Linked DNA regions of Lonchura striata. The protein of the gene in region 2 purifies or fractionates together with the protein of the main gene of each other region. This does not show direct contact. Links are inferred from orthologs where the notes say so. Each region holds a gene or a part of one and is shown on either strand. Other genes may lie near its edges. The genes, in order: PPME1, PPP2R2D, IER5 and CDCA4.

What was found.
Region 1: the proteins of PPP2R2D (region 2) and PPME1 purify together in Homo sapiens (affinity purification with mass spectrometry; 4 studies listed by BioGRID and IntAct, counting the BioPlex papers as one, with this or other methods). This does not show direct contact. The link is inferred for Lonchura striata from reciprocal best matches to the Homo sapiens genes PPP2R2D and PPME1.
Region 3: the proteins of PPP2R2D (region 2) and IER5 purify together in Homo sapiens (affinity purification with mass spectrometry; 3 studies listed by BioGRID and IntAct, counting the BioPlex papers as one, with this or other methods). This does not show direct contact. The link is inferred for Lonchura striata from reciprocal best matches to the Homo sapiens genes PPP2R2D and IER5.
Region 4: the proteins of PPP2R2D (region 2) and CDCA4 purify together in Homo sapiens (affinity purification with mass spectrometry; 3 studies listed by BioGRID and IntAct, counting the BioPlex papers as one, with this or other methods). This does not show direct contact. The link is inferred for Lonchura striata from reciprocal best matches to the Homo sapiens genes PPP2R2D and CDCA4.

Annotation. Positions count from the first base shown.
Region 1 is NC_134604.1:19,316,001-19,323,985, forward strand, and holds the start of PPME1 (protein phosphatase methylesterase 1), read right to left. Parts: upstream 3,010-7,985; 5' UTR 2,936-3,009; coding exon 2,838-2,935; intron 1-2,837. Other genes in the region: C2CD3 (C2 domain-containing protein 3), read left to right, coding at 3,173-3,188, 3,323-3,580, 3,959-4,116, 4,682-4,878, 5,593-5,810, 6,386-6,518, 7,221-7,349. UniProt on the Homo sapiens protein: Demethylates proteins that have been reversibly carboxymethylated. Demethylates PPP2CB (in vitro) and PPP2CA. Binding to PPP2CA displaces the manganese ion and inactivates the enzyme.
Region 2 is NC_134609.1:31,970,201-31,977,879, reverse strand, and holds the start of PPP2R2D (serine/threonine-protein phosphatase 2A 55 kDa regulatory subunit B delta isoform), read right to left. Parts: upstream 3,008-7,679; 5' UTR 2,879-3,007; coding exon 2,872-2,878; intron 2,667-2,871; coding exon 2,568-2,666; intron 1-2,567. UniProt on the Homo sapiens protein: Substrate-recognition subunit of protein phosphatase 2A (PP2A) that plays a key role in cell cycle by controlling mitosis entry and exit. Involved in chromosome clustering during late mitosis by mediating dephosphorylation of MKI67.
Region 3 is NC_134611.1:2,038,654-2,043,950, forward strand, and holds IER5 (immediate early response gene 5 protein), read right to left. Parts: upstream 1,399-5,297; 5' UTR 1,295-1,398; coding exon 590-1,294; 3' UTR 501-589; downstream 1-500. UniProt on the Homo sapiens protein: Plays a role as a transcription factor. Mediates positive transcriptional regulation of several chaperone genes during the heat shock response in a HSF1-dependent manner. Mediates negative transcriptional regulation of CDC25B expression.
Region 4 is NC_134608.1:8,337,730-8,344,887, reverse strand, and holds the start of CDCA4 (cell division cycle-associated protein 4), read right to left. Parts: upstream 3,012-7,158; 5' UTR 2,896-3,011; intron 2,552-2,895; exon of another isoform or gene 2,471-2,551; intron 1-2,470. UniProt on the Homo sapiens protein: May participate in the regulation of cell proliferation through the E2F/RB pathway. May be involved in molecular regulation of hematopoietic stem cells and progenitor cell lineage commitment and differentiation.

The DNA.
Region 1 (7,985 bases), on a different chromosome or scaffold from region 2:
GAGCCACTAGCCAAAAACAAAAGGCAAAAAACAAGACAGGAAATGCAGAAGCTGCTACAGCTGTTGGGATCTGCTGCCGTGGGGCCTCTTGCTCCACCAGTGACTTTACAAATTCTATTATTTTATTTCCCCACAGAACACAGAATCAGGCCATAAGCCTGGTTTTGTTTTATTTTGTGATTTTGATTTTGATTTTCATCAGTTGAGCAATTGGAAAGAATCACTTGCAACACGCAGGCAATTCCCAACACAGCCTTGGTGCTCCTTAAAGAAATGGACATGGAATTCCTCCCAGTGGCTGAGTTTCACCAACTGCTTGAGCTGAAGAGAAGCTCCAGCTTCCTTTGGGAAGGGCCTTTGCAACCATCATTTCTGCTGGAGAGCACTTAAATCCAGGGAGAAGAGGATTGTGCTAGCAAAGCAGGAATCAATGCCACGTGCTGTGAAATAGAATGAAATTCTAGCACACATCCCATGCTCCCGCAAAACCCACTCCAGACTACATTGCAGGAGCCATGTTTGGTATCAGGGAGAATTCCTTCCTGAAAAGGGCTGTCCAACCCTAGCACAGCTGCACAGATCCCCATCCCTGCAGGGACAGAAAGCTGTGTGGATAGGGCACTTGGGGATGTTGGGATAGTGGTGGCCTCGGCAGTGCTGGGGGAATGGCTGGACTCCAAGATCTTAGAGGGCTTTTCCAACCTGAGCAATTCCATGATTCTATTTGCTTCGGACAGTTTGACTTCTCAAATGAGACTCTCCCACAGAGAGACATAAGGAAGTGATTGTACTGAAAAATGAGCAAGAAAATAATAATTTTAAAAGAAAAAGTTAGAAATAAGTTTATTTTCACATACTTAAAGGTGCCATTTTTTATGAACTACTGAAACACACATTAACCTTTTAACAGCATATTGCCAAAAAATGTAAGACTTTATTTTGGTTAAGAAGTTCTCAGTAAATTCTATTTTTCTGCAGCAATCTCACATGCTTGGCCCTCTGCTTCTCAAGATCTGCTTTCAGCTACACCACAGTCACATTAAGATGACCTGCATGGTGGAAAAAAAGGGAATTAAAAGAAAGTGCCCAGCACACCAGTCAGAGGATTTAGCCACAGAAAAATCAAGTTGCTGGCATTCTTGGATATTAAGGTTAAACGCATTTTTTTAAAAGCCTGGCTTGCAATTCAAGAAATTGAAAGTGCAGGAATAAATTACATTTATAAATGTGAGATGCTTAATAAAGCAAATAAATATTTTCCTAAGTTTAGTTCTTTTTGTTCCCTGTAACCTTTGAATTTTGATGAACTATTTCAGTGCAGCCCTGTATATCTGCCAGCACTGTAAATCACACTATTTTCCCTGTACAACTAATTCCGTTCTCTTTTAGTGGAATTCTCTTCAGGGGGAATCTTGCACCTGTTTATACTGAACTGAACTTTGATAAGGATAAGCTCAGCTTAAGTTAAACTTTCTATCCCACTTCCTCTTGTGTCCTTTTCACAGAAGCCCCAAGCCCCTCTGGATGAGGTAATTCCATGTTGGATGTGCAGCACCTCCCACAACAGGAACATGACCTGTAAAGGGATTTACTGGGTGGTAGAGCAGTAAATCTAACCACAACATGATTATGAACTACTCCCCACTGCTTCCAAGGGAAGAATTCCAGGGGAATTCTTGATCCTTAACCGCAACACTGGATTTTGTTTCATTCATAATAATTTCCCAGAGAGAGTTTAAAACCCCTCCAATTCATGGTAAGAGAGGAAGAATTATATAAATTAACACTTGTTACAGCCTTAGACACTGGTCAAACTTCTCCCACAGCTCCTAAAATGTACTCTCAAACCCTGCTTAAAAGATTAAAGAGTATTCCAGACTTTTCCATCATCTCAAAATGCAGATTTAAGCAGGGATTAACGTCACTTGGCAGAGCACACCTACTTCACATAGGTGCCCGGAGCTGAGAAATTCTGTTTCACAGAATCATGGAATATTCTGACTCGGAAAGGGACCCACCACAAGCATTATCAAAGTCCAACTCCAGCTTAGGAATTCAGCTCCTGAGAATTTCCACACACCTCTCCCCGCAGTCACACTCTGAGGTACCACCCAGACATGGTGCTTGACCCTTCCTCCAAACACTGATGGCAAAAGGACTAGGAGAAAAGGGCTGGAGAGTTGATCCCAGCCCCTGCCACCTTCCCCCAGCCTAAGGATACTTTGGGCACTGATACCTTTGCAGCTGGAGAAGCCTGATCCAGGTGTCACTCTCCTGGAGCACTGGGAAGCAGGACCAACCCTCCCTCCAGACCCCTAAGAATGACCCCCCCTCGCTCCAGATCCCCCAGTAGTGACCATTCCCCGTCCCGATTCCCCAGGACGAGCTCTTCTCTGTGTATGTCTCGTGATAATGGCCATTCCCTGTGCCGATCCCCCAGGACGAGCTCCCCACTGGCCGGATCTCCTGGTAATCGACATTCCTTTGCCGATCTTCCAGGATGAGCTTCCCCCTGTCCAGACCCCCCGATAATTCCCTGTGCCCAATTCCTCAGGACGAACTCCCCTCCTCCCAGATCTCCAGATAATGGCCATTCCCTGTCCCGATCGCCCAGGACGAGCTCCCCTCTTCCCAAATCCTCCGATAGTGATTCCCCTCCGTCCAGACCCCGGAATAACGTACCTCCCTTCCTTGTAGATCCCCCCAGCAAAGACCACCCGTCCCTCCAGACCCCCAACACGAGCCCCACCTCCCTGCAGAGCCTCCGCTCCGCGGTAACCTCTCCCCCCAGACTCCCCCCCGATCTCGGCATCCGCCCCTGCCCTTCCTCCGCCTACCCCATGCGCATCTTCGACCCGGAATGGCCGCCGCCTCCGGGCAACGGGGGCCGAGGTGGGAGGCGGCCCAGATGCAGCTGCTTCTCCAGGGCAGACATGACAGCTAGGGACGCACCGGGAACACCGGGACCCCCGCGCCGCCCCCTCCGCCCCGCCTCGCCTCGCCGGAAGCGGCTCCCCCAACAGCGCCGCCACGCGGCACTAAGCGCACCCGCCCGCGTGGCACCGCGGGAAACGTAGTCCGCGCCCCCGCTCTGCCCGGCGGGGCGCGGGGCAGGACGGGAGCTGTAGTCCCCCGCCGCGGCGGCCGTTGCCGGGCGGGAGGCGCGGGCGGGATGCGGCGGAGGGGAGGTGCGGAGAGGGACAGAGCGGCGGAGCGGGGCTTGGGGGGATACAGCGGGGAGAGAAGCGTGCAGCTGTGGGACGGGAAGCGGCACGGAGGCTCGGGACGATGTACGGACCGCTGATGTCGCCTGTCCCCGCAGGTGCCGGCGAGCCCGCCGCCGCCATCAGCCTGCCGCCGCTGGTGCAGGGCCCGGCGCGCTGCTTCCTGCGCTGCAGCGTGCCCCGCGTGTTCTGGGCGGCCCCGCAGCCGCCCGCCGTGGTGCGCCTACGGTGGTGGGGGGAGACGTCCGGCGGCACCGTACTGCAGCCCGCCTGCCGGGCCGGGCAGCCCGCGGGGAGAACCAGCGCCCGCTTCACCGTGCGCTGCGGACCCCGGCAGCTCGCCGCCTACCTGGCAGGTAGGGACGCTACGCTTCGGGACCGCGTTAGGTTGGGGTAGGACGAGAGGACGCAGCGTTAAGGTGTGCCGGGGCAGGTTGGGGTCGGCCGTCGAGAGAAGTTTCTTCACGGGCAGGGTGGGTAGGCTGCCCAGGGGGTTACCCTCGAACAGCGGTAAGCATTTCCCTGTGTCCTGTTCCTTTCCTGGTAATCCTGTACTCGTTCATCATCATTTAGTACCAGTAATAATGTCTGTATTGACGCTTCTTCACCTGCTGCCCTGTTATCGTAATTTCCTTGTAGGACATAATGTTAATCTCTGGCGTTGCTGTCATTTTAGCCAAAAAGTGTCAGTTGTGACCATGAGACTGACTTGAAGATGTTCCTGATTTTTGCAGATATGGGCGTTCTGGTCCTGGAGGTTCTAACCAAACTTGACCACCTTCTCCTTGGCAGAGCACAGATCACTAAGCTGTCCCAGCTCTCTCCCAGCCATCCCATCAAAGGGTCTTTTCCTGTGGTGTCACCAACATCGGGTAAACTCGGAGAGCTGCAGGTAGTCTTGATGTCTTTGCTCATTATCATAAATTATGTGCTGTGACACTGGTATAATCAGGTGCAGGGTCAAGCTGTATATGGCACACTGCAGCTTTGCTCTCTGTCAAGGGCATTTCTGAGCTTAGGTAACAAATAAAAAAAAACAAATACTGCTGATATTGACTTTATTTTGTTCCAAGGGATGTGGGGTAGTTGAGCTTAGTGAGGAGCATGTGGTCATCTCTGTCACCAAGAGTGAGTGTTAACAGTGGATTTTAAATGGATATTTGGTTCTTACACTTCACTGGGCTGATAATAGAAGATTTGACATCTGGAATTAAGAAAATTCTGTCTTGCAGCCCTGGCTCTGGAAAATTGATTATGAAAGGCAGTTGACTGGGTCTGAAAACATGGAACAAGAAAGAAGTAGTTGTAAATATGTGACATAGCTGCGTAATGTAAATATTACTTTATGTAGAAAAGCAGCAGTTTTCCATTGCACAACAAGTGAAGTTTAATGCAGTGTTTACTGCACTTAAGTTAGGAAGAGAACAAAGTAATATTTTCACATTCTTGTCTTCCAGGTCTCACTGATTCTAGAACCTCTGCCAGAGCTGTATGATACTAGCAGCTGTGTGCTGACCACACAAGGAGGTTCAGTTGCTGCTGCTGCCCAGGGAAGCAGCAAGTCCCAGCTTCCTGCTCCATCCCAGCAGCCCAGGCACACACAGGTGACTGTTGAACAGGACTGGGTTGACAACAGCAAAGCCACATCTCCTAGGTATCCGTTTGTTTTTTTTGTTTTTCTCATGACAAAACTGTGGTTTATTTTGCAGTTCACACAGGATTTTTAGGTATGGCAGTACACTTGTGAGTTATGGGATGCTTGATGTTTTCAAACATACATCTTATATTAAATCCAGGATGTGGAGATTTCCAAGGTGACAGGGACAATTTCTTGTCTGATAAGAAATTTGCTTCTTAGGTTGACTTAGTTCAAGTCATGCAAGTTCACAAAAGAGGTGCCTCAAATCATCAAATCACAAAATAATTTGGGTGGAAGGGATCTTAAGGCTCATCTCATTTCAGCCCTGCTGCCAGAACACTTTCCACTATCCCAGGCTGCTCCAAGCCCCATCCAGCCTGGCCTTGGACATGGATGAAGCAGGCACGGCCTCTCTCGGTAACCTGTGCCAGAGTCTCACCGTGCTCCAGCAAATCACTTTCTCCTGATATCTAATCTAAACTTACCCTCTGGCAGTGAGAATCTGTTCCCCCTTGTCCTGTCACAAGATGCTCTTGTAAAAAAGATCTTTTTTTTAAAAAAAATCTTCTACTTGCAGCTTGGGTTGGTCTCTCTGATGGTCTCAGTGGCAGGTGAGGAATCATTAAAATAACATGTCATGTTTCCTGTTGGAGCATGTCCTGAAGGGAGAATTTGCAGAGCTCTGAATCCCTTTACCCACCTTCCTGAGTTGTCACTGTTTTTCCCTAGAGGAAGGGACGGTTTGCTCTACCAAAAGAATTCTGAAAACATGAAGAACACCTTTTCTGCTTCTTGTCACGGTGTGATTTTACCAGATGAACACTTGAAAATGAATCCTGCGAGTCAGCCCCTGTCGTTTCCCAGCAGCACTGATCCTGAAGCGCTTCCCAGGAGGAGCACACGGGTGCTCTCCATGCACAACGCCGCTACAAAAGACCTGCTGTCAGGTTTGTGTGCAGCTGGCTTCACATTTTAGATTTCACTGCAAACAGCTCTTGATGCTCTTTTGTCTGCCTGTATGGAGATGAGGTTTTCTGAAGGGAAAGACAGACTTCACACCCTCTTGCTGCATTATACCAAAAAGGCCTTGTCTTAAAACTTGCTGTTGCCTGGGCTGGACTGAAATAAGCTTTGGAGTAGGGCATGTTTCCATATGTGCTGTCTTTTGAGTTCCATATTCGCAGAAAAGAACAAAAATTAGACATCTTGAAGTGGCAAACTTCTCTTCCCTAAATTAGTACTGCTTCTGTATCCTAATAATGCCTTTCCAATACCTGACCCTGTGTGTGCAGAGAAATTCCCTGTGCAGTGGAGTGGGAGACTGATGGAGGATCATTCTCCCTCGCTCCCAGCTGAGCTGTTTTCTGGTGTATAAAACATATTTAATCCCCAGTGAGTCAAGATCTTTTTTTAACAGCAGAAAACAAGTTTCTTGACCGTAGCTGACACATTGATTATGTCTACACATTGCTCTTAAAATACATTTGAATGCTGAAATGTAATCCTTCTGCTTGTTTCCCAGCTCTCTTGGATCAAGGCAGTAAACTCCGTGATGCCATGGTTGTTTCTGCAATGAAGTCCAGCCTAGACATGGAGATTGAACTGAATAAAATATCTGATTTTATAGAGAGAGATGATTTTAAAGCACCAACAAAGTGAGTTTGGATTGAGGGAAGTGAGATGCAAGCTCCAAACCATAAATTTTGAGGCTTTATCCAGAAAACTGTAGATACTGAGATTCATAGGATGTGTTTTAGGATTCATTTGAGGTGAAAAAAGCACATCATTCAAATAGGAAGTTAATTTCTACCTGTGAATAAATGCGCGAATTTTGTGAATTTATTTTAATCTTCATGTAGTAAGCTTTGATTTAAGTATTTGATTTTAATTTAATTTTTTAGTATATTTGTATTTAGTTCTAAGTTATTTGTCAAGGAAATATTACATGTTGGTAGGGAATAAGAGTAAGACTTGAAAGACAGTGCAAGTGAAATGGCACTGCATCACAAGGAGCAGTTTTTCAGAGAAGTGTAAGTAATTCATAACCTAAATGCATTTTTTTTTTCCTTAGGGGAAAAGAAACTTAGATTTCTTGATTTTCTTCTGGAAAAATGTGAATATTACCTGTTGTTCTGTGATAACCAGAAAGCGATGTCATTGTCTTTGGTAGTCAGTGATGCTATTGCAAACTCAATTTAATTTCTTTCTGCACAAGCTATTTGCATTTGTGTTAAAGTGGATTATTTTGGACTTCACAGAAGACACTGATAGACCGATTAATGGATTAATCTTGAGTATGCCTTAATGTCTTTATTTGTCCTTTTTCTGCTGTCTCTGCTTCCATTGCTGTTACCCAGGAGCCCAACAGGCTTGAAGTCCAGTTTTGTGCACACTCCTGAAGATTTCCATCACTTTGGATCTGAAGTTTCAGGTCAGCAACTCGACCTAAACTCTGAAGAAGGAGCAATCCAGTTACTTTTGGGCAGGTGAGTGTGATGCACTGGAGGCTTCTGCAAAATTGTCCTAATCTGACCATTTTGAAAAATGTCTCCTGACCCTTCAAGTTGTCCACATTTTTGGGAATGTAACCAGTCACTCCTGTGCAATTGATGCAGGTGCTTTATAGCTCAGCTTTAATGCATGATGTCCTGGATAGCTCCAAGCCACTTGGTGTGAAAGTGACAGAAAGATTGTCAGAAGGATTAACCACAATCTTTCATAAAACTAAGTTACTTAATAGTTGTAAGTGTTGTGGCTTAAAATATTACATAAAGTAAGCACATAAAACAAGTGCCATGTTTCCTGGAAGAGGACATACTCTGTAAATTAAAACTACAGCTATTTAAAATCTTTCTCCAGATATTAAATGCACCTTTTCCTCTAATTTTGTGTAGCGGGAGCATAAATGATGCTTCCATTGTGTCCACATCTGCACCCTGAACACACAGCTTCTGGGTCAGATATGGTTCAGAATTTATGGTTCATGTTCTTGTGCCCTGCACTTACCTTTTCACTGTGGTTTATCAGTGGATAACACTGTAGTGTTTCAGATCATAAAATTATTTTAAACTCACAGCACAGAGGAAACCCTTAAACCAAACTACCCCCAGCTTGTATTTAAA
Region 2 (7,679 bases):
GTGGTTAACACTAACAACAGAATTACAACACAATCTTTAATTAGCTTTGTTTTCAAATTGTGATTGTTGCCATCCCTAATATTAAGTCTTTCACCCAATCTCTATTTTATAATCTGTTTTATCCTTCAGTCCTCTCCCCCGAATCCAACTAAACTATTCCGTTCTAGAAAAGTCCTACCCAACCCTTTACAAAATCCATAGTCAAGAAGTGATGGATTCTCCTGGTCTTTCAGAAACGGTCAGACTGAACAGTGCCCTTCTCTTTCCTGACACAGAGCCTGGACAGAGGTCAGGGATTAGTCACCGAGGAAAGGCAAGGCACGGACAAGACAAAGAGGAGACAGTGATTTTCTGTATTAATGACCCACTTAGGAAAATCCAGCTGCCAATCTGATACAGTTGTCCCAGTGTTTGTGATGAAGCCAGACACCTGAGAAACAACTATGGAATATAAAATGTGCAATAGAACTGCACTGTAAAAGAACGGATTTTCTGGTAAAGTCGCCTGGCTGAGCAGTTTCAACTCCTGAATAAACCCCTAAGAAAATCTGGCAAAACACTCTGCATGGAATAGGCTGGACAGCAACTTCATGGTGTCCTCCTCCTCTAGAGAGCTAATTTTTCACAAAACAGACCAAAAATTGACAGCAGTAGCAAGTTTGCACTGTCACAAAAATTTATGTGTAATTTGAAGGCTATTTCAAGGCAACAGTTGTCCATCAAGCAGGTTTAGATGTGCAGTTTGGTAAGAGAGGATTTAAAAGATGGCAGTGAGTAAATATGTCCCTAACTGAGGCCCAAAACCTAGCCATGTATTTGTACTCTTACTAGGAAATTAAATTTGGGCAGTTATTAGAAAATAAGTAGCATATTTTTTATATTCAATTTCAAGGCAAAATGTAAGAGGAGGGGAAAGGCCACAAATCAAAACAAAAAACCAAGAAGTCACAAAGCCTGTAAATAGTTCTGGTATTCCCACGGGAAAACAAAACTTTAGTGTTAGTTTTGCAAAACCAGGTGCTGAACGATTCCTGGAGCTCTCCTGCTCTGTGTAAATCCAGGCTGCTCAGGAGTTATCTGGGAAGCAAAGTGCCCCCAGGAGCCAAAAGTCCCCAGAACTATATCCTTTACTCATGGAGAACTGGCTTTTAGTCACACAGGTGACAGACCTGAGAAAAAAGAACCACTTAAAAAACATACAAGCTACTTCTGTACATTTCTACAACATTTCTGGGAACTTCAGAGCAAGCTACAAAACATACAGAGGGAAGAAAAAGGAAGAAAACAACTGAGTGAGTGTAGTTTCTCGAGCAGTTTCCAGTCTATCCCTCCAATGGCCATTATTTTAAATGGAATGCCAAACAAGTGGCATGAAAATGAAAACACTGTCAGCGTAATTTCCCGTAGCAGGCAGCAAGGAAAAATATTTACTGCATCCAGTAATAAAAATAAAATCCCAAACCCAAGCTGAGCACACAGGCCCTGCAAGTTAATTCACACTTTCGAAAGAAGCACTGCCAACCTGGACAGTTAGAACACATGAAATTTAGGGGCAGAAAAAGAACTTTCTCATCAGAGTCAAGCAAAACTCCACCCAGACTCTGCACACTACAGCAAACACTTTTCCCAGTTAAAACATTTCTTATTTTCTACTCTGTCCAAAACATGAAGCGCCTGGAAAGTTTCAGAGAAATGTGAAGGTGTGCCCTTTTTCCCTGCTTAATATCCCTATTTATAGCTCCCTAACGTTAACAAGTGGGAATCAAATCTCTCCACAGCTGCAGGAACCCTTTAAACTGCACTTTTCAATGCAGCACAAATGACAGAGCTGCACTCTCTGTGCGTCAGAGCGAAACTTGACAAGCCTGACAGACTCCACTGGTGTTTCTTTTTTTCCTCTCCCTGTATCGTATCACTGTTGTTACCTTTTATCCTGAGCCCAGAACTGTAGACAGTTATCCTAAGCCCAGAAGTGTGCCCAGTTCTGGGCTCCTCAGGACCAGAAAGCCAAGGAGCCACTGGAGAGAGAGGCCACAGAGTCCTTCTGGGACTGGAGCATCTCTGAGCTGAGGAGAGGCTCTGGCAGCTGGGCTGCTCAGGCTGCAGCAGGGAAGGCTGAGGGGGGACCCCGCCGAGCCCTGCAAATCTCCCCGAGGGCTGGCAGGGCCGGTGCCAGGGCCAGGACAAGGAGCACGGGCAGAGCTGAGGCACAGCGAGTTCAGCCCAGCGAGAGGAAGAAAAGAACTCGTGTGCATGGAGGGGCAGGGCCCTGGAGCAGCTGCCCGGGAGGGGCCGGGGTCTCCCTCTGCAGAGCCGTTCCGAGCCCTGCGGGACCCGTTCCGGTGTGCCCGGCTCCCGGTGAGCCCGGGCCGGGGGATCCCAGAGGCGCCGCAGGCCCAGCTACCCAGGGATTCAGGGATTGCACCGGAGACCCGGAGGAAGGCGCCGTGGCTGCTCCGTGATGCTCCAGGGGTGGGAGCTCGCTTAGTCATGGCACAGCCCGGCACGGCCGGGGATGCTGCGGCGCTGCCCGCGGCCGCCCGAGCGCGCAGCCGGGCTCCCCTCACCTTCCGCCACGTCCTCGTCGATCGCCCCCTTCACCTGCAAGAAGCACCACTGCACCTCGCTGCTGCTGCCGCCGCCGTCGCCTCCAGCTCTCGCCACTACTGCGGAGGAGAAAGGGCGGTGAGCGAGCGGGGAGGGAGGGAGAGGAGCGCCCCGCGCCCGGCCCGGCCCGGCCCGCCGCGCTCCCGCATCCCCGCCGCTGCCGCCCGGCGCGGCCCGGCCTGCGCCCGGCCCCGCGGCCCCGCGGCGCCCAGCCCCGGCCCGTCCCGGCCCGTCCCGGCGCGGAGCTGGGGCGCGGACACAGACCTGCCATGGCGGGGGGAGCCGCGGGAGCGGGGCCGGGAGCGGGGCCGGGAGCGGGACGGAGCCGCCCGGAGCCGCGGGAGGGTTCGCGGTTTCAAAATGGCGCCCATTGCCGGGCGGCCCGGCCGTGACGTCACCGCCGGCTCCCCTCGGGGAGGGCGGGCCGGGCGGCGAGCGGGGCGGCACGGCGTGCAATGGCACGGCACGGCACGGCACGGCACGGCACGGCGTGCAATGGCACGGCATGGTACCGGCACGGCACGGTACCGGTACGGCACGGCATGGTACCGGTACGGCATGGCATGGTACGGCATGGCATGGTACAGCACGGCACGGCGTGCAATGGCACGCCACGGCATGGCACGGTACCGGTACGGCACGGCATGGCACGGCACGGCACGGCACGGCGTGCAATGGCACGCCACGGCACGGCACGGCATGGCACGGCATGGCACGGTACCGGTACGGCATGGCACGTACCGGTACGGCATGGCATGGTACGGCATGGTACGGCACGGCACGGCATGGCACCGGTACGGCACGGCACGGCATGGTACGGCATGGTACAGCATGGTACGGTGCGGTACGGCATGATACCGGCACGGCATGGCACGGCATGGTACCGGCACGGCACGGCACGGTACCGGTACGGCACGGCACGGCATGGTACGGTGCAGTACGGCATGGTACCGCACGGCACGGTACGTCATGGTACCGGCATGGCACGGTACCGGCACGGCACGGCACGGCACGGTACCGGTACGACACGGCATGGCATGGTACAGGCACGGTATGCCATGGCACAGCACGGCACGGCACGGTATGGCACGGTACCGGCACGGCACGGTCCCGGCCCCGGCTCCGCGGGACGCGCAGGGCACCGGAGGATAAGCATGAGGAGGAGGAGGAGGAGGAGGAAGGAGCGCGGCTCGGAGCCGTGCCGGCGCTCCCAGGCAGCACGGGGGGCTCAGCATGAGGAGGAGGAGGAGGAGGAGGAAGGAGCGCGGCTCGGAGCCGTGCCGGCGCTCCCCAGCCGCTCCACACGCGGCTTTCCGTGAAGGGACGGGAGCGTCACAGCAGAGACCTCGCTGTGCGTCCCGGTTTGGTTCTGCTCGCTCCCCCAAGGGTTAATTGTGATGAGGGGAAAACCAAACTAACCAAAAGAGCAAAAACCCAAACGTGCCTCTGACTCCTTTGCGCCAGAGCCGGGTGAGGGGAGGGAGGGAGCAGGGCCTCAGGGACAGGTTTATCACAGAATTCCAGAGTCGCTGGGGCTGGAAAAGCCCTCAGGATCACCGAGTCCACCCTGTGCCCATCCCCACCCTGTCCCCAGCCCAGAGCTCCGAGTGCCACCTCCGGGTGACACCTCCAGGGACGGGCACTGCCACCCTCCTGGGCAGCGCCTGCCGAGGCCTCAGCAGCCCTCAGAGACAGCCTTTCCTAAGCCCGGCTCTGTGTCTCAGTCACAGCCTTTCCTAAACCCGGCTCTGTGTCTCAGTCACAGCCTTTCCTCAGCCCGGCTCTCAGTCACAGCCTTTCCTAAACCCGGCTCTGTGTCTCAGTCACAGCCTTTCCTAAACCCGGCTCTGGTGTCTCAGTCACAGCCTTTCCTCAGCCCGGCTCTCAGTCACAGCCTTTCCTAAACCCGGCTCTCAGTGACAGCCTTTCCTAAACCCAGCTCTGTGTCTCAGGCACAGCCTTTCCTCAGCCCGGCTGTCAGTCACAGCCTTTCCTAAACCCGGCTCTGTGTCTCAGGCACAGCCTTTCCTAAGCCCAGCTCTGCTCTCATGTCTCAGTCACAGCCTTTCCTAAGCCCAGTTCTCAGTCACAGCCTTTCCTCAGCCCGGCTCTCAGTCACAGCCTTTCCTAAACCCGGCTCTCAGTGACAGCCTTTCCTAAACCCAGCTCTGTGTCTCAGTCACAGCCTTTCCTAAACCCGGCTCTGTGTCTCAGGCACAGCCTTTCCTAAGCCCAGCTCTGCTCTCATGTCTCAGTCACAGCCTTTCCTAAGCCCAGTTCTCAGTCACAGCCTTTCCTCAGCCCGGCTGTCAGTCACAGCCTTTCCTAAACCCGGCTCTGTGTCTCAGGCACAGCCTTTCCTAAGCCCAGCTCTGCTCTCATGTCTCAGTCACAGCCTTTCCTAAGCCCAGCTCTCAGTCACAGCCTTTCCTAAGCCCGGCTCTGCTCTCATGTCTCAGTCACAGCCTTTCCTAAGCCCGGCTCTGCTCTCATGTCTCAGTCACAGCCTTTCCTATGCCCAGTTCTCAGTCACAGCCTTTCCTCAGCCCGGCTCTCAGGGACAGCCTTTCCTAAGCCCAGCTCTGCTCTCATGCCTCAGGGACAGCCTTTCCTCAGCCCAGCTCTCAGTCACAGCTTTTCTTCATCCGGCTCGTGTCCCCCCACACCGTTCCTCGCCCCGGGCAGGAGGGCCCGGCCCGGCTCCGGAGCTGCCCGTGGTGATTTGGGATCCAGCCCCAAGCCCCGGCCCTGGGGCTGTGCTGGCCGGGTTTGGCCGCGGGCAGGGCTGGGAGGAGGGAACGCGGCCGGGATCCCTCCGGATCTGCGCTCCTGGAGCTCCAGGGCTGCAGGTGTCCGACCACGGCTGCGGAGCTGCCCCTTCCCTGCATCTCCTGCCTCACAAACTCAATATTCCTGCTGCCCCGTTGAGTTCGGGCCTCTCCTGACTGCTCCTTTTCCAAGCACGGATACTGGAATTTGTGGAGATGCAATTTCTGCCCCTAAATCCAAAAGAGCAGAAAGAAATGAAAATGAATTCTGTGTTTGCCCCAAACCCCGTCTATTAATACATTCCTGGTCTCGCAGTCCTTTGGAAAATGGTACAATTTAAAGAACTTTAAAGCCCAGCTGCTCCTAGGGAAGGGCTAAGTGCTTGGAAAGGCGACAGGTCTGCACTGTTGTGTCTCAGTCTGAGGTGGTTTCCTAAGTCCTGTTGGTTGTAGGAAATGCAAGGAAATTGGTTGATGAACAGACTTGGTTAATTGTGATCTTGAGCCCAGGTGAGTGAAGAACATCCCCTTACAGAGTAAGAGTCTTGTTAGGAACAAGTAATTCTCTCTGCTGGAAGTCTTTATCTTACTGAATGGAATTTTACCTGGAGGTTCTTGAGGATTTTCCTGTGGAAGGGCTAAAGTCTAGCACTTGCCTGAGTTCAGGATGGTTCCTCTCAGAGACATTACTCCTCTGGGCTTGCAGCCTTTTCTTGGTAATTTAGATACAGAAATGCGTTTGACTCAGGTTTTCCTTATTTAATTTCTTGCTATGACATCTGTACCCATTTATAGACTCATTACTTGATTTGTGTTTATTCCTTATGTAGTGTGTTGTGTATCAAGTGTTTAAATAAAATATTTTTTTACTTAGTCTCTTGGCTGTAGGAAAGTCATCCTGAAGGGCAAAGAATGCCTTTAAACCCTGCTCTTTGGCAGAGTCCTTCTCCCATGCCCTGGCACTCCAGGCCCTTGTAAATCATCTCTCTCCAGTTTCTTGCTGGCTCCTCCAGCCCCGTGAGGCCACCCCGAGGTCACCCCACCCTTCTCCCCTGCAGGTTCCAGTGCAGCTCTGCCAGCAGAGCTGCTCCATCCTCTGATCATTGGGTGCCTCCTCTGGATCCTCTGCAGCAGCTCCAGGTCCCTCTGAGCCAGCTCTGCAGGTGGGGCTCACCTGGGCACGGGGCACAATTCCCCTTTCCTGCTGCCCAGGCTGGGGACAGGGGGTTGGGAAAGCTTTCCCTGCTCAGCCCGGGGGGTGTGGGCAGAGGTGTTGCACAGGCCGGGCACGGGGCTGGGTGTGTGCTCTTGCAGAATTCCAGAACTCGGGCACAGGGTGACAGAGCGGCTGTTCCCAGTCGCTGGGTCCCTGCCGTGTACTGGGGTGCACGCACAAGGAGCTGACGTTCTGCCTGGCCACGCCGAGCAAGGAAAGCTCCCGAGAACAAAGTTTCCACGTGTGCTCTGGAAATAGGATCCTGCGGGGCCAGCTGCCCTCCGTGCCCCGTGTGCTGCTGCCCCGTCCCTCATTTTCCACCCTCTGCAGAGGGCCAACAGCCCTGAGCCTGCCAGGGCGCTCTCACTGCCTCTGCTCTGAAAAGAGACGGTGCTGCAAGGGTAATTCCCAAAAACACGGGGCAATCCATGGAAAGAGCGTTTATCCTGAAGGGAAGTACAGCTGGTGGGCACAGGGAGTCACATTTTGTTAACAGATAGAAACCACACGCACCTCACGTGCTAATTGACAGCACAACACCTGATTATTCTTAGGTGAGAAGCGCAACAGATCTTTTTCCCATGGAATTTTTGTCAGTGTTCCAAACTTCGGAGCAAGCCTGTGGTTTGGCAGCTGGTGGGTTTCCTTATGAGCCCTGTGTTCAGTAATTTTGCTGTGTTTTTTACACCTATGGTGTATGAAGAGTCCTTGTTCACCTCTGGTGGTTCCTGCCCAGGTCCCTGCTCCCGCAGCTGAGCACAGACCCCTCTGTCCCTGAAATCCTGGTCTTGTATGAGGTATGCATGGCATGCTGACTTTTCCTGCTCCAAAGCAGACTTTTCCTTCCATCCAAGCCCCTCAGGAAAGCCCCTTTGTCACCTCCAGGCAAATGTCCTAAGCCTCGTGGTCCGGCTTTTCCCTCCCTGCTGTCCCCGTGCCATCACCTTCCTGGCTGTCGCCAGCCTGTCCCGTGCACAGCTCCCGTGGCTCAGTGTCCCTCTGCCCTGGCACCAGCCCAGCCCTGGCCCTGGAGAGGGGAGCTCTTCCAGGAAGGAGCAGCACAGCGTTTTCCTGGCACCGTGTGTGTC
Region 3 (5,297 bases), on a different chromosome or scaffold from region 2:
TGTTGTACACGTAGAAATTACATTTTATACAAAACATGATACATCACTGAAGGAGAACACTGTACAAAATTCCCTACGGGAGCCCCAAGCCTTTATACAACAAAGACCGGGAGTTACCAAGCCTAACAAACAGGCTCAAGGACTTTCCGTCAGAGCGTCTGTAAACTTCGTTCCTCTCAATAAACACTTTTAAAAAGCACCATGTAATAGTTCTGACCTAAACCTTTCCAAAATAGAGACTTTATTTAATAAACTTAATACTTTCCAAGCTTAAAATATCACCCGCCGGGGGCGCCCCCGGGGTCGGCGGCAGCCGAGGAGCCTCCCCCGGGCGCCGGGGAGGGCGGCGGCGGCTCTGCCGGGAAGGGGAATTCCGGGAGGGCAGGGCCGGGGGCGCTCCCAGGGCGGGTGCCGGCAGCCGGGACCCGGCGGGGAACGGGGAAGCGCTGCCGCCGCTGCCCCGCGGTCCCTCCCGTGCGGCGGCGCAGGGCGCCGGGTCTGGCCGGCGCCGGAGCCCCGCGGCGCTCGGTGGGTGTCACCTCCGGGCCCCGCGGCCCGCGGCGGGGAGCCAGTCTCTGCGGCCGGGCCATCAGAAGGCCACGATGGCCGTGCTCCAGGGGTTGAGGGTCCGCAGCACCGGCTCGTCGCAGCAGATCTGTCCCGGCTCGGCCGCCGCCTCGGCGGGCGCCGTGCCCGCCGCCGCTTCGCCGCCGTCCAGAGGCGGTCGCCGCCGGCCCTTGGGCTCCTTGCTGAGCAGTCCCGAGAAGCTGGAGCCGAAGATGCTGATGAGGCTGGCCACGTTGCCCGTCTCCATGTCCTCCTGCTCGCACGGCGGCGAGGGCGGCGGTGGCAGCGGCGGCGGCTCCTCCTCCTCGCGGCGGGGCTTCTTCACCGGGGAGCCCGCCTGGCCGCGCTCGCCGGCGCTCCGCTTGCGGGGGCAGTGCGGCGGCGGGGGGGCCCCGGCGCAGCCCCCGCGGTTCTCGCCGCAGCAACAGCGCCGCGGCCGGGGGCCCTGGCAGTCCCTGCCCGCCTCGTCCTGCGGGGGCGGCGGCGGCTCCTCGGCCGCCCAGGCGGCGGTGCGGGGCGGCGGCTCCTCCTCGGGGTGGCCGGCGGGCGCGGGGGGCGGCTCGGGCGGGCAGCCCGGCTCGCTCAGGTAGACCTGTCGGGCGCTGCGCAGCACCAGCGACACCAGGAGGTTCTTGTGCAGCTTCAGGCCGCCGCGCTGGCCCCGCGCGCTGTAGATCTTGCCTAGAGAGATGCTGACGATGCGATGCGCCTCCAGCTTGAACTCCATGGGGAAAGCAGGTGGGCGAAGGGGGGGGTGATTTAAAAAAAAACAGTTAAAACCCCGAGCCGAGCGGCGACCCGTGCCTCACCCCAGCTCCGCACGCCGCCCCTTCGCGCCGCAGACTGAGCGAGCCCACGCGCCCGCCCGCCTTTTATACCGCCCCCGCCTCGGCCAATCAGGGAGCGCCGCCGGCCGCTCCAACCGCCGGCTGGCCCCCGCGCGCGCGCTCCGGCCAATGGCGGCGCAGGGCAGCGCGTTCGAAAGCTCGCCCCGCGGAGAGGGCTCTTAAAGCGGCAACGCCAGCGCGCCGCGCGGGTGGGGCCCACCGCGGAACCCCACGCGGGCGGCGCGGGGAATTTCGGCCAAAGCGATGGAAACGTTTCCCTGGGGAGGGAAAAACAACAGACAACAAACCGAACAAAACAAATCCAACCCAGCGCAGCCTCCGTTTTGTCAGGTTGGGGACGTTTCCCGCAATTTCAGCCCCTTGTCTGGGATCTTACTGCGCTAGAGAAGGAGCTGGTGGTGGTGATGGCTGGAGGGTGAAATGTGTCTGTGAGGATTTCAGGGAAAATCTGCCCTGATGTGGAACAAAGCCGTGCTTGCCCAGCTGCCAGGCAGAATTCTGCTCCAGGGGCCTGGCAGTGAAGCTCCCAGAAAGCCCAGGGCAGAGAGAAGATCCACAACAGGGCTGGGAAAGGCTGTAGGGGAGGGCAAATAGAGCATCTCCAAGTGTGATGGGGACCACGGCAAACTGGAGCATCTTGTTTGGGAGCTGGAATCTTACTGTGAAAGCTGGTGGCAGGATCATCCAGGTGGCTGAGGGACAGAGGAGACAACACATGCAGCCCCCAGACACAGCTGCAGGCACCAGGGAGGCATCCAAGAAAGCTTGGAGGGTGTTTCAGAGCTTGGTGTGCAGACCTTCCTCCTTCCACCAAGGACTAACCACCACTTGCAAACAGAAAAGAAGTGAAAGGGCCTAAAATTAAGGAAGTTCAACATGCTGCCCCAGAGTATCAGTTTCCATTCCCAGATGACATATAACAACTTGCTTCCATCCCTTTTTTCCCCAGGGGATGAATCCACAAACTCCCCCAAGGGAAAGCCACAGGCTATCATGATGTTTTGTTGGCACAACCTGTCGCCATGTCCTGGCCTTCTAGAAGGAAAAAAGGGTGGCGGGTCACAGAGGTAACAAAAAAAAAAAAAAGTGAAGATGAGGCCACACCAATGCATAGTTGACATAGCAAGAGCCTTCTTCAAAAAAAAAAAACCGTGCTCAGGACAAATGTATGTTTTCCTCCTGGTCAAACACAGATGGTAAACCTCAAAATGTCACTCTCTGGGTGTCAGACACAATAGCATCTCAGCCTGGATGTTGACATCTCAAAATGCCCAGCCCTTCTCCACCAAACCTGCCGTGCTCCATCTGAAGTGACCCGAGCGGGGCACTCTCAGCCACACGGCCAAAACAGCCAAGCCTGGCTTCCCCCACAGACAAAAAGTCCCACAGACACAAGGTCCCAGCTTAGCCCACAGCAGGGAGAGCCTGTCCTGGCCGCAGGGAGCGGGGCTGTCCCCTCCACACCCGGCGTGGGAGGCCGGAGGGACGCGAGCTCCAGCGGTGGGAACCGAGGCTTTCCCGACCTGCCAAACCTGCTCCCCGCCCCTCGCAGGGCCAGCAACACCCTGTCCTGAGCCCTCGGGTCAGCCTAACCAGCCAGGGCAGCTCTGGGCTTGCATGCCTGCGAGTGCAGTCACGGCTCTTCACCCGCCACCAGTGTCCCCTTGGTGGCACAGGGCTGGCTGTGTGCCTGGGAGATGCAAGGCCAGCTCTGGGACTACTGTTTGCCAGATCTGGGCACTTGCATCTTCAGCAAAGGGTCAGAAAGTCAGATTTGATGCATCTCTCAGCTAGGCATATCCCAACTCGGGGACTAAAAGCAGCAGTGCAAAGTCATCACACCAGCTGGGAAAAGCCCAAGGCGGGTGGAGGAGGCAGAGCGTGGGAGCTCTGCGGGGTGAAGATGCCTGGATCGGAGCAGACTGACCTGTTCTGCTGCTCACCACCTCACCCCCATGGCATGAGGCACCACTTCTCTGCAGGCACTGCCTTTTGGCCGCTACCCTGCCTGGGAGCAGGCGGGCCAGCAGCCCCTCCCGGCTCTGGCCAGGGATTAGCAGGATGGGGATGGGGACTGAGTGATCCCTCGTCCCTCTCAGTGCTCAGACAGAGCACCAGCAGGGAGGGGCAGAGGTGCAGGAGAGCTGGCACCCAGCACCACGAGTTTCACCCACCAACACCACGTCTGGTGTCAGGCACAACCATCAGCACGGTATTCCTAGGGCACCAAAGCTCTGCCTCGACATCTGCCTGCTCTCCGTGCCCTTTGCAGAGGTGGGATGATGGTTTTTCCTTTTCCACAACAACATCTCATCTCAGAATCACGGTCCAGGACATTTGCCAAAGCAAAGGTGCACACACACACTATATCAATACGTATATCATTATCTAAAGTGGGTTGCTTCACAGACACATTCTTATCCCTGGGAACGACCCAAAGACTAGGCTGGCTTTTTGCGTGTCAAAGCGATCTTTTCCATTTGTTTTCCAGCAGGAACTACCATGAATGGCAATTATCCTCGGGAGTGGGGGGGATCCACGGGCGAGGACGAGCAGCCGGTTGAAGGCAGGCATATTTTGGTGGCAGCTCTGCCGCTCCCTCCCCGGCTGATGTCATGCTTTAGTAACTTTGAGGCCGAGTCACATGGCGGCTTCTGAGGTCAGCGCCTGGGGTGGCTTTGTCTGCCTTCCTTGTGGCTGCCCCGAGGCTCCTGCCCGCGCCCGGGGCTGCCCTCCGAGCACGGCGATCCGCTGCTAGCCGCGGCTCGGCATCGCCGCGCTTCCCACAGCTGGGCACAGCTGGATGCACCCCCCGGTCCATCCCTCCGCCCGCCCCGCGGAAGGGACATCGCCCCCAGCCCTGCGGGTCAGGGGGGGATCCAGGAGAAGGAGGCGGAGGGAAAGGGTGTGACCGGCCGCTCTAATCTCCGCATGTGATCCGGCGGGGTTGGAAGGGGTTTGACGAACAATTAACAATCCTCCGGCTCAGCTGCTGTTTCCCGAAATAGCTCTGGCACGGGAGCAGGAGGAGGAGGAGGAAGGGGGAGGAAGGGCCGGGCTGGCTGGCAGACAAAGGTGGCCTCTCCGCCAGCAGAGCTGCGGCCGGCGCGGTGGCGAGGAGGCAGCCCCGGTGGGCCACCTGGAAAGGAAAACAATGCGACATAAAAGCGGCTCGAGGGAGGGAGGAAGCAGCTTGTGGTACGACTAATAATTGCAGAGGGCTGCGCGCACGCCCCCGGCTTTTTTGGAAGCGTTTCAATTCCGAGCAGAGGAGGTCGGCGCCGGGATGCTCGCTGGGGATTCGTGCGGTCGCATCTTGGCCGGGAGCGGCGGGGGATGCTGGGGGAGCCCCAGCTCCGGCAGCATCGCGGCTCTGCCGGTCCCCGAGCCTGGCTGAGCTCCGTCCCGGCCCTTCCCATCCCGGCCCGGCCCGGCCATCTGGCTCCCAGCACGGCCCCCCGCGGAATGAGGATGTGGTTAGCGAGATCCTGTTCCGACAGCGGCGCCTGACCCCTTCCTCAGCCCCCCGCCAGCTCCTCGCTGTCACCAAATGTGCGGCCCAGGCCCCAGGGGGAAGCCGGATGCAGGAAAGAGGTGGAAAACCCTCCAGCTGGGATGGACAGTGAAATTAGGGTGTCCTCGAAGCACACGCTGAAGTCATCCACCAGCGGCTGTCCCAGTGCTGCTGCCGTGCATCGATGCCTCTCTCTTCTATTCGCACCAGGATTCATGAATTAGACCCATCCTGAGAGGAGGATGTGAACAAATCCATCAAAAGCCCCTCACCACCAGCGGTGCTGAGGCAAAAGCCTTGGCACCAACAGCTGCCTGGAGCAAAAACAGAACTTCAGGACAGCCAAAACCCCAGGGAGATCCAGGCAC
Region 4 (7,158 bases), on a different chromosome or scaffold from region 2:
ACTGCTTTAACAATAAAGGCTGAGTTTTTAAAACCCATTTAAAGCATAATAAGATTTGATATCTCAAATACAACTTCACATCACATGCAACAATTCCCTTAACTACTGCAACAAAAAAGAGTGCTGTTCCAACAGGCTAGAAAAACTTTTATAATAAACAATGGAAACAATTCAGATACTTTTCTAGACATGTCTGTGCAGTACAAGACAGTTCTGTGTCTGCAACTGAAGTGCATACCTGGAAAAGAAACAAATAAAGAGGATGCACATGGAGATCTGTTCTGATTTTCTGTTTTGTGTAGTAATAAACAATTTTTCAAAATTGCTTCTCTCAAATGGAGGGGGAAGAAAATGGATGACAAAGGACTTGAGGGTGAGAGTGCAGAAAACATGTCTTTACTCAAGAAGCTGCATACTTGTTAAAATGCCACAATGGGAAAAAAAAAAACCACCTTTAACATTCTCAAGCCAAGAACTTTTGATCGCAGATATTCAAACTAAATGATGTTATGTCATGGAAACTGTATTTCAAACAATTCAAAGTCTCTTTTTTTTTATAGACTGAGCTCACAGCAACTTTAGAAACAGTGTCTTAAGGCATCTGAACTACAACTTCAGTCAGACACCATATCAAGTCAATAAACTATTTCTTATTTCTGGCAAACACTTTATGACACAATAAAAGTTCAGAAGTTTTTGCTCCCCAGGTACACTTTGAACATATTCTACAAATGAAAAGTGATCTCTTTGAGAGCCTGTGTCTGGTAACTATTTGAATCCCAAAATTTCTACTTTATTGGAGGGTAGGTGACAAGGGCATAAAAAAATCCAACATCAAACACCTCCCCCACCTCCCTTCCAAGAACTACAGGTAAAGATGGTGCAGTCATGAGAAAAACAAACTGAAATATTTTCTGATGCTATTTGGTATATCTGACAATTTCAGAGGGAGAGGCTGTGGCTGTTTGCCTCCCAAAATAGGGGACAATACAGGAGGGGACTATTGCTGTTGGTAAAAGAGCCATTATCACATCCACAAACTAAATGACAGGGGATGCTGGCAGAGCAGTTCAGTCTGTAATCTATTTATGTACTACAGAAGGAGAGTTTTCCCATGCAATATAATAATGTTTAAAACCTGCTGCATGTGATTCCATGTTCTTCCCTGGTCTATAACCAAACCACATGGACTTCTGTTAGTATAAATTTGAAGAATAGGTCCATCACAGCAGTCATTTCTCTGGGCTCTATAAACTGGCATAAATGTGTACCTCAACAACCAAGTTCTCAGTAAAAGCATATTAACTTCATAGCTATTACCAGATGCAATTAAAACTTTGCAAACAAATGACCTCCCACAAACTTCCCTACATTATCTCCAATAAGCACTCATCTCAAGAGAATTCTAAATTTGAAACTTAATTAAAATCTAAGTATCTTTTCCTATTGATTTATCTATTAACATACTCAGAAAGGCATTAGCCATTGTGTAAAACCTTTTGGTACATCAGAGGAAGACTGCTGCTGCTTCAGAGTTCAAAGTGTTCAAAATCCCCTGATAATTTGAAGCAGCACCTTTCTCTGTCCAAGAAGCAGCATCCAGACGAGCTGCATCATCTCCTTTCTTCTGCTTCCCCAGTATCATGAGCCCAAACTTTGTGTATTCAACTAAGCTGCTGTTTGAAACAGCTACGCAGAAAAACTGTTGTCAAGGAGATCACAGCTAGCTGCAGCATAGTGCACTAAGGGAAAAGGAGTTTTGTGGGTTTTGTTGTTTCACTTTTTAAAAAATAAATAATAGCATAGAATTATGTAATTCATTACAAGTTTTGCTTTTAGGATCAACAAATTCCCAGTCTGCTTTATAAAAAAGGTGCTTGAAATTTGATTCAGTTCTTATTAGAGCATCAACTTAAGACATTCCATTTTCACACGCAATTCGGACTCATATAGTGATATGCTGCCAAAGAGATAGCTAAGTACTTTAGGGAAAAAAAGCTGCTTCCCACTAACTGGGTTAACAAAGACAGGGAATTTCAGCAGTGCTTATCTTTAGGGGAAAGCAGACAAGAAGTACCCAGGCCATGCTGGAGGCTCAGTGAAGCACAGTGCTGCTTTTTGTACAGCCGTAAGTACAGTGATGATGGTTAGCACGGGAAGGCAAGAAGGAACCGTATCGCCCCTCTACCACTCTAATCCTCTCCACTCCAACACTGGCTTTTCTAAGAACCGTGGGAAGAAACCAAAGCTCTGTGTAACAGTGGAGAAAAAGACGGAAAGGGAGCTGCTACTCCTCTTTAGCCATGCACGTGTGCCCGTATGGTGTGTCGAGGTATAAGGTGGGATGCAGACACAGCAGAGGGACGGAGAGGCCAGAAGCATCGCTATTCAGACTGGAACAAAGGCCCCTGTAAAGCACTGGGGTCTGCCCACCCCCGGGGCGTAGGGGGCTGGCAGGCACCTCTCTGGCACTCGAGAGACTGGGGAAGGGGTTCCAGCACCCGGGGAAGAGCAGGCTGAGCAGATGGGGCAGGAGCCCGTGGAAACGCAGGTGGGGGCCGGGGGCGCTAAGCAGGGGGAGCCCGCAGAGCCGGGGGGAGAGGCGGGACCGGGGCGGGGAGCGAGGGGGAGCTCCCCGCCAGTGGGAGGGCAGCGGAGCGCCCGGGAGAGGCGCGGACGATGAGGGAGCGGGGCTGCGGCAGCGACCGAGCGGAGAAGTGCGGAACGGGCCGCCCGTCCCGCCCGCGCCGGCCCCCTCAGCGCTGCCGGCGGTTACTCACCGCCCCGCGCTCTCGCCGCCATTTTGATTCGATCCCGTCCCTTCAGCGGGTTCCGCCGGCACCAGCTTCCCGCGGATCCGACCCAGCCCAGCCCGACCCAGCCCACCGTACTCACCGCCTTGCCAGTGCTGTCGCCGGCGCACACCCGAGCAGGAACTCCCGCTCGGCTCCCGCCTCACCGGCGGCTCCGCGCCCGAGGGACGGGCGGGGCCAGCCGGCCCCGCCTCCCCCCGCCCGCCATCTTATTGTCAAAGCCCACAAAGGGTCCCGCGGCCGCCGGGGGCGGGCCTTCCCCGGAGACCGCGCCCACCAGGGAGCGGCGGCGCCCGCTATTGGCTGCCGCCAGGCGTTGCAGGCGGCACTCGCCGCTGCGATTGGCTACAGCGCCCGTCCGTCCCGCCCCCGAGCTCCGCCCCCTAAGGCGGTGAGGTTGCCATGGCAGCCGGGCCCTTCCCCTCGGCCGTGAGAGGCTGAGGGCGGCGGGGGCGGGGGCGAGGCGGGGCCGCCCCGATTTCAAATCGTAGCCAAGGCCCCGCGGTGCGTCTGGGCTCCCGGCCACGGGCTCCGGCGGGAACAGGTTCAGACCTGGCCGCGCTGCAGCCCGCGGGGAGCCCTGGCGGGGGAGGGGAGAGGGAGCGTTGGCAGCCCCGGGCCGGGCGCTCCCCGCCGTCCCACTTCCCTCACGGCCCGGGAGCCCCGGAGCTGCGCCCCGCGGGGGTGACAGGAGGCCTCAGCACTCCATTAGCAAGGCCTGTGGCATTTCCTGTTCGGGCCCAGCCCCGGGTCTCGCAGTCGGAGCCAGGAACCCGCGTGCTGGGGCGGGGGTGATGTCTCACCCCGCAGGCAGCCGCTGTCTGAACATGAGTCAGTAGCGAGTGCCCGGGCGGGCGAGAACGCCAGTGGCATTCTGGCCTCTAAAGGAATAGTGTGGCCAGCAGGACCAGGGAAGTGCTGGGCACACCTGGAGTACTGTGCCCTGTTCTGGGCCCCTCAATTGGGGAGGACTATTAAGGTGGCTGGAGTGTGTCCAGAGAAGAGACCAGAGCTGGTGAAGGGTCTAGAGCACAAGTTTTAAGAGAAACAGCTGAGGCAGCTTATGGATGTTTAGCCTGGAGAAGGGGAGGCTCAGGGGAGACCTTATCACTCCAATTTTCTGACAGGAGGGTGCAGCCAGGTGGAGGTTGGGCTCTGCTCCCAGGGAACGAGTGACAGGGCTACGGAGAACATAGCCTTAGGCTGTGCTGTTGGGAGTTTAGCTGAACATAACAAAGAATTTCCTCACAGAAAAGGTGATTAGGCACTGTAATGGGCTGCCCAGGGAGGCGGTGTAGTCACCGTCCCTGGAGGTGCTGAAGGAAGACTGGACATGGCACTCAGTGCCATGTTATGCAGTGCTATGTTGGACTCGATCTCAGAAGTCTTTTCCAACCTAACTGGTTCTGTCCTAAAGCTGCTGCCACCCTGCTCAGCAAAACCCCCTCAACCAAACCTTGCCGCTGTGACCCCAGCCCGATGCAGCTGCACATCTGCAAGCACTTAGGCTGCCCCAGCGTGTCTCGGTGGCTCTCCCGGCCCAGCAGCTACGTGCCGGCTGCTCCGGAGCAGCCCGGGGGAAGGAGGGGCGGCTGGCCCGGGCTGCCGGAGCGCCGCAGAGGCGGCAGCTGCTGCCTCCCGGCCCTGGGGCGGGGAGGGGAAGGAGCTGGAGAAAGGGTGGGATAAGCAGCTGGAGCTGGAGGATGGGCGAGGCTTGCGGCTGAGGTTCTTGTAAGACAGGCTGGGAAACAGCAGAGCTGTAGTGTCATACAGTAAAGCAGGAGGAAATAACATACTACAGATACCCATGGTAAAAAAAGAGTAAATGCGACCCCCTTTAGTCTTGACCAATGAATAATTTCAGAGCTGCAATTTGCGTCCAGGTCACCAAGTTCTCTTTTTTTGCCGTCCAATTGGTTGGTGTTGTTGTTCTGACGCCAATCCAAAATTTGGGACATGTTGGGGGAAAACAGGCTCAACTGATCGATGGTGCAAGGGCCTCTGGGTAGGTGAGAGGGGATGCCTGCAAGAGCTGTATCTCCACAAATAAATACAGTTCCACTAGGTAGGGTGTGAGGTTTGGAGGTAAGGGTAAATGGTTCCATTCTGTGGCTGATTTTTTTACACCAATTTTTTTGCTATGTATTGACTTTTGATTTGTTTTATTTCTGTGCACCTGATTCTTGGGACATAGGTTCAATCAGAAAATGAACGCAATAAGGGGCTTTTGCTGGCTGAGCCAAGCAATTCAAATTCATGGGGTTCCTCCTTGGCTTGTGGTAATCTTTTGAGGAACTGTTCCCAGGGAACTAAGGGATTGTACATAGGGAGGAAAGAAGAAACTAAAGGAGGAAATTAATTTGACTTGAATGGGATCCCCACAAGGCAGGTGGACATTGGGTTGGCAGTGGAGTCAGTGGACAGACAGATGTTATCCTGCCCAAGGGTCTGTGCCAGAGTTTTCCAAACATTGGCTTGTGGCTGGGAACAATCCACAGGTGGCCATGGCACACGATGTAGAGCAGAGTGGTCAGTAATATCAGCATCCTTGCGGGGCTTGGGGTCATCAAGCCTGGACTGATCTGGTGTTAATTACACCCAGAATGATGTTGACCTCTTGTGTTTGGTGTCCCCAATGATGACATACTTACATCCAATCTTGCTCCAGGTACCTGAATCATCCAGGGACACTTGGATGAAGTGAAAATGTGAGTCCTGTAGATGTAGTAGTTCCACCAGCTGAAGCCTAAAAGGTACAAAGTAAGAGGTGGTCGTTAGAATAGGTATATTGTGAGAGAGGTCATATTTACTATTAGTCAAGTCAGGTGATTTTGAATTGCAGGTTAACAACTGTCCCTCAGTGGGTTTCTGCTTTAGTTCCGTCCCCAGTGTTACTTCTGGGCCCACCCTGTTTATGTCTTAGCGCAGGGAGGAACTGCATCCAATTCCCCAGTTCTCCACATAGATGGCAGGGTCTGCTCGCTGTAGGAGGTCTTTGGGAAGGTCTCAGCGTGTGGGGCGGTTGCTTTGTCGGTGGTTTGAAGGCTGGGGTGGTATCGTCTGCTGCAATCCAATGAGGATGTCTTTGCCCCTTGTCTTGTTCCTCTGCTTCAATGATAACGTTCTTTTCACACACTTCTAGCATGTCATGCAGGGCTGGCTCCATTGGCAGGCTCAGGATGACGGCCTTGCATTGAACATTTGCATTCAGTACTGCCATCTCCTTCAGGATCCCCTGATGGACCTCTTCTTCTTTCACCTGGAGCTCCACCGCCCTGCAGAGTCTCTCAACAAAATCTATGAAAGGCTCTAGAGGAGACTGAACAATTTTTAAATAATTTTAGACAGGCCCTTTTGGTTTTAAATTAAAGAACACCAGTCAGCTTTGGCTGACTCCCGGAGCACCCCCTAGGGATTTCAAGTGCCTGTCTGGCACCTTCCTCCCACTCTGCCTCCCCACACAGATAACATATGTCCCTCAGTGTCAGTTGCTGTGGCAGGGTTATTCCACAATGTGGGAAGGACATTCTCGACCTCCTTCCTCCAGGCTGCCTCCCACAAAATAAATTCAGTGGGCGACAACAGGCAGGAGAAGAGTGACCAGAGATCAGCAGGAGTGAGATCAGAGGAGAAGGTCGCCCTGAGAAGTCCCTGAAAGCATTCATTTTCCCTTGAGAACTCTCTCTGGGCCTTACACAACTCTTTGGTGGTCTGATATGGAAGCAGGGTCCACTGGGCCTGCACATCCCCCTCTCACTGGGGTATAAAAGCCACTGGTGCAGCAGACAGAACTGGCCATAAATCATGGGAACTTCCATTTCTGGGCTCCTCCCCTCTGGAATGAAAACCAGGGAACCTTAAGAGGGACTGTGGGAACTGGAAGAAGGAGGAGGATGGGAGGGGCCAGGAGAGGGGGTGAGGACACATGATTGAAGATCCCCCCTCAGGGGTGTGACCAGGGGCAGAACTTAAGGGAGTTGTGGGTGGAGTTTGAATAAAGGACAAAACAGGAAGAGGAGGGGTTTATGGGTAGGAAGGGGTTGGAAGAGGAGATGAAGGGATTTTGGGAAGAACAAGTGGTGGGAAAAACCTTGTGGCTCCTGCCACCTTGTCTCTTCAGGGAGACATCTTGGGAAGGGACAGGATTGGGAAGGTCAAACCAAACACAGGGCTTGCGGGACGGGGCTGTACATCCTAGGGAAAGAAGGGACTGAGAAATATCCTGAGAAGTCTGGCTGGGACTCAGGCAAAGATACCGGGAATTCTGAGGGGAGCCGGGGAGTCGGTAGCAGCCCTGTGCCAAATGGCGGGTTGCTCCCTTCAGAATCCCAGTTGCAGGGGCAAC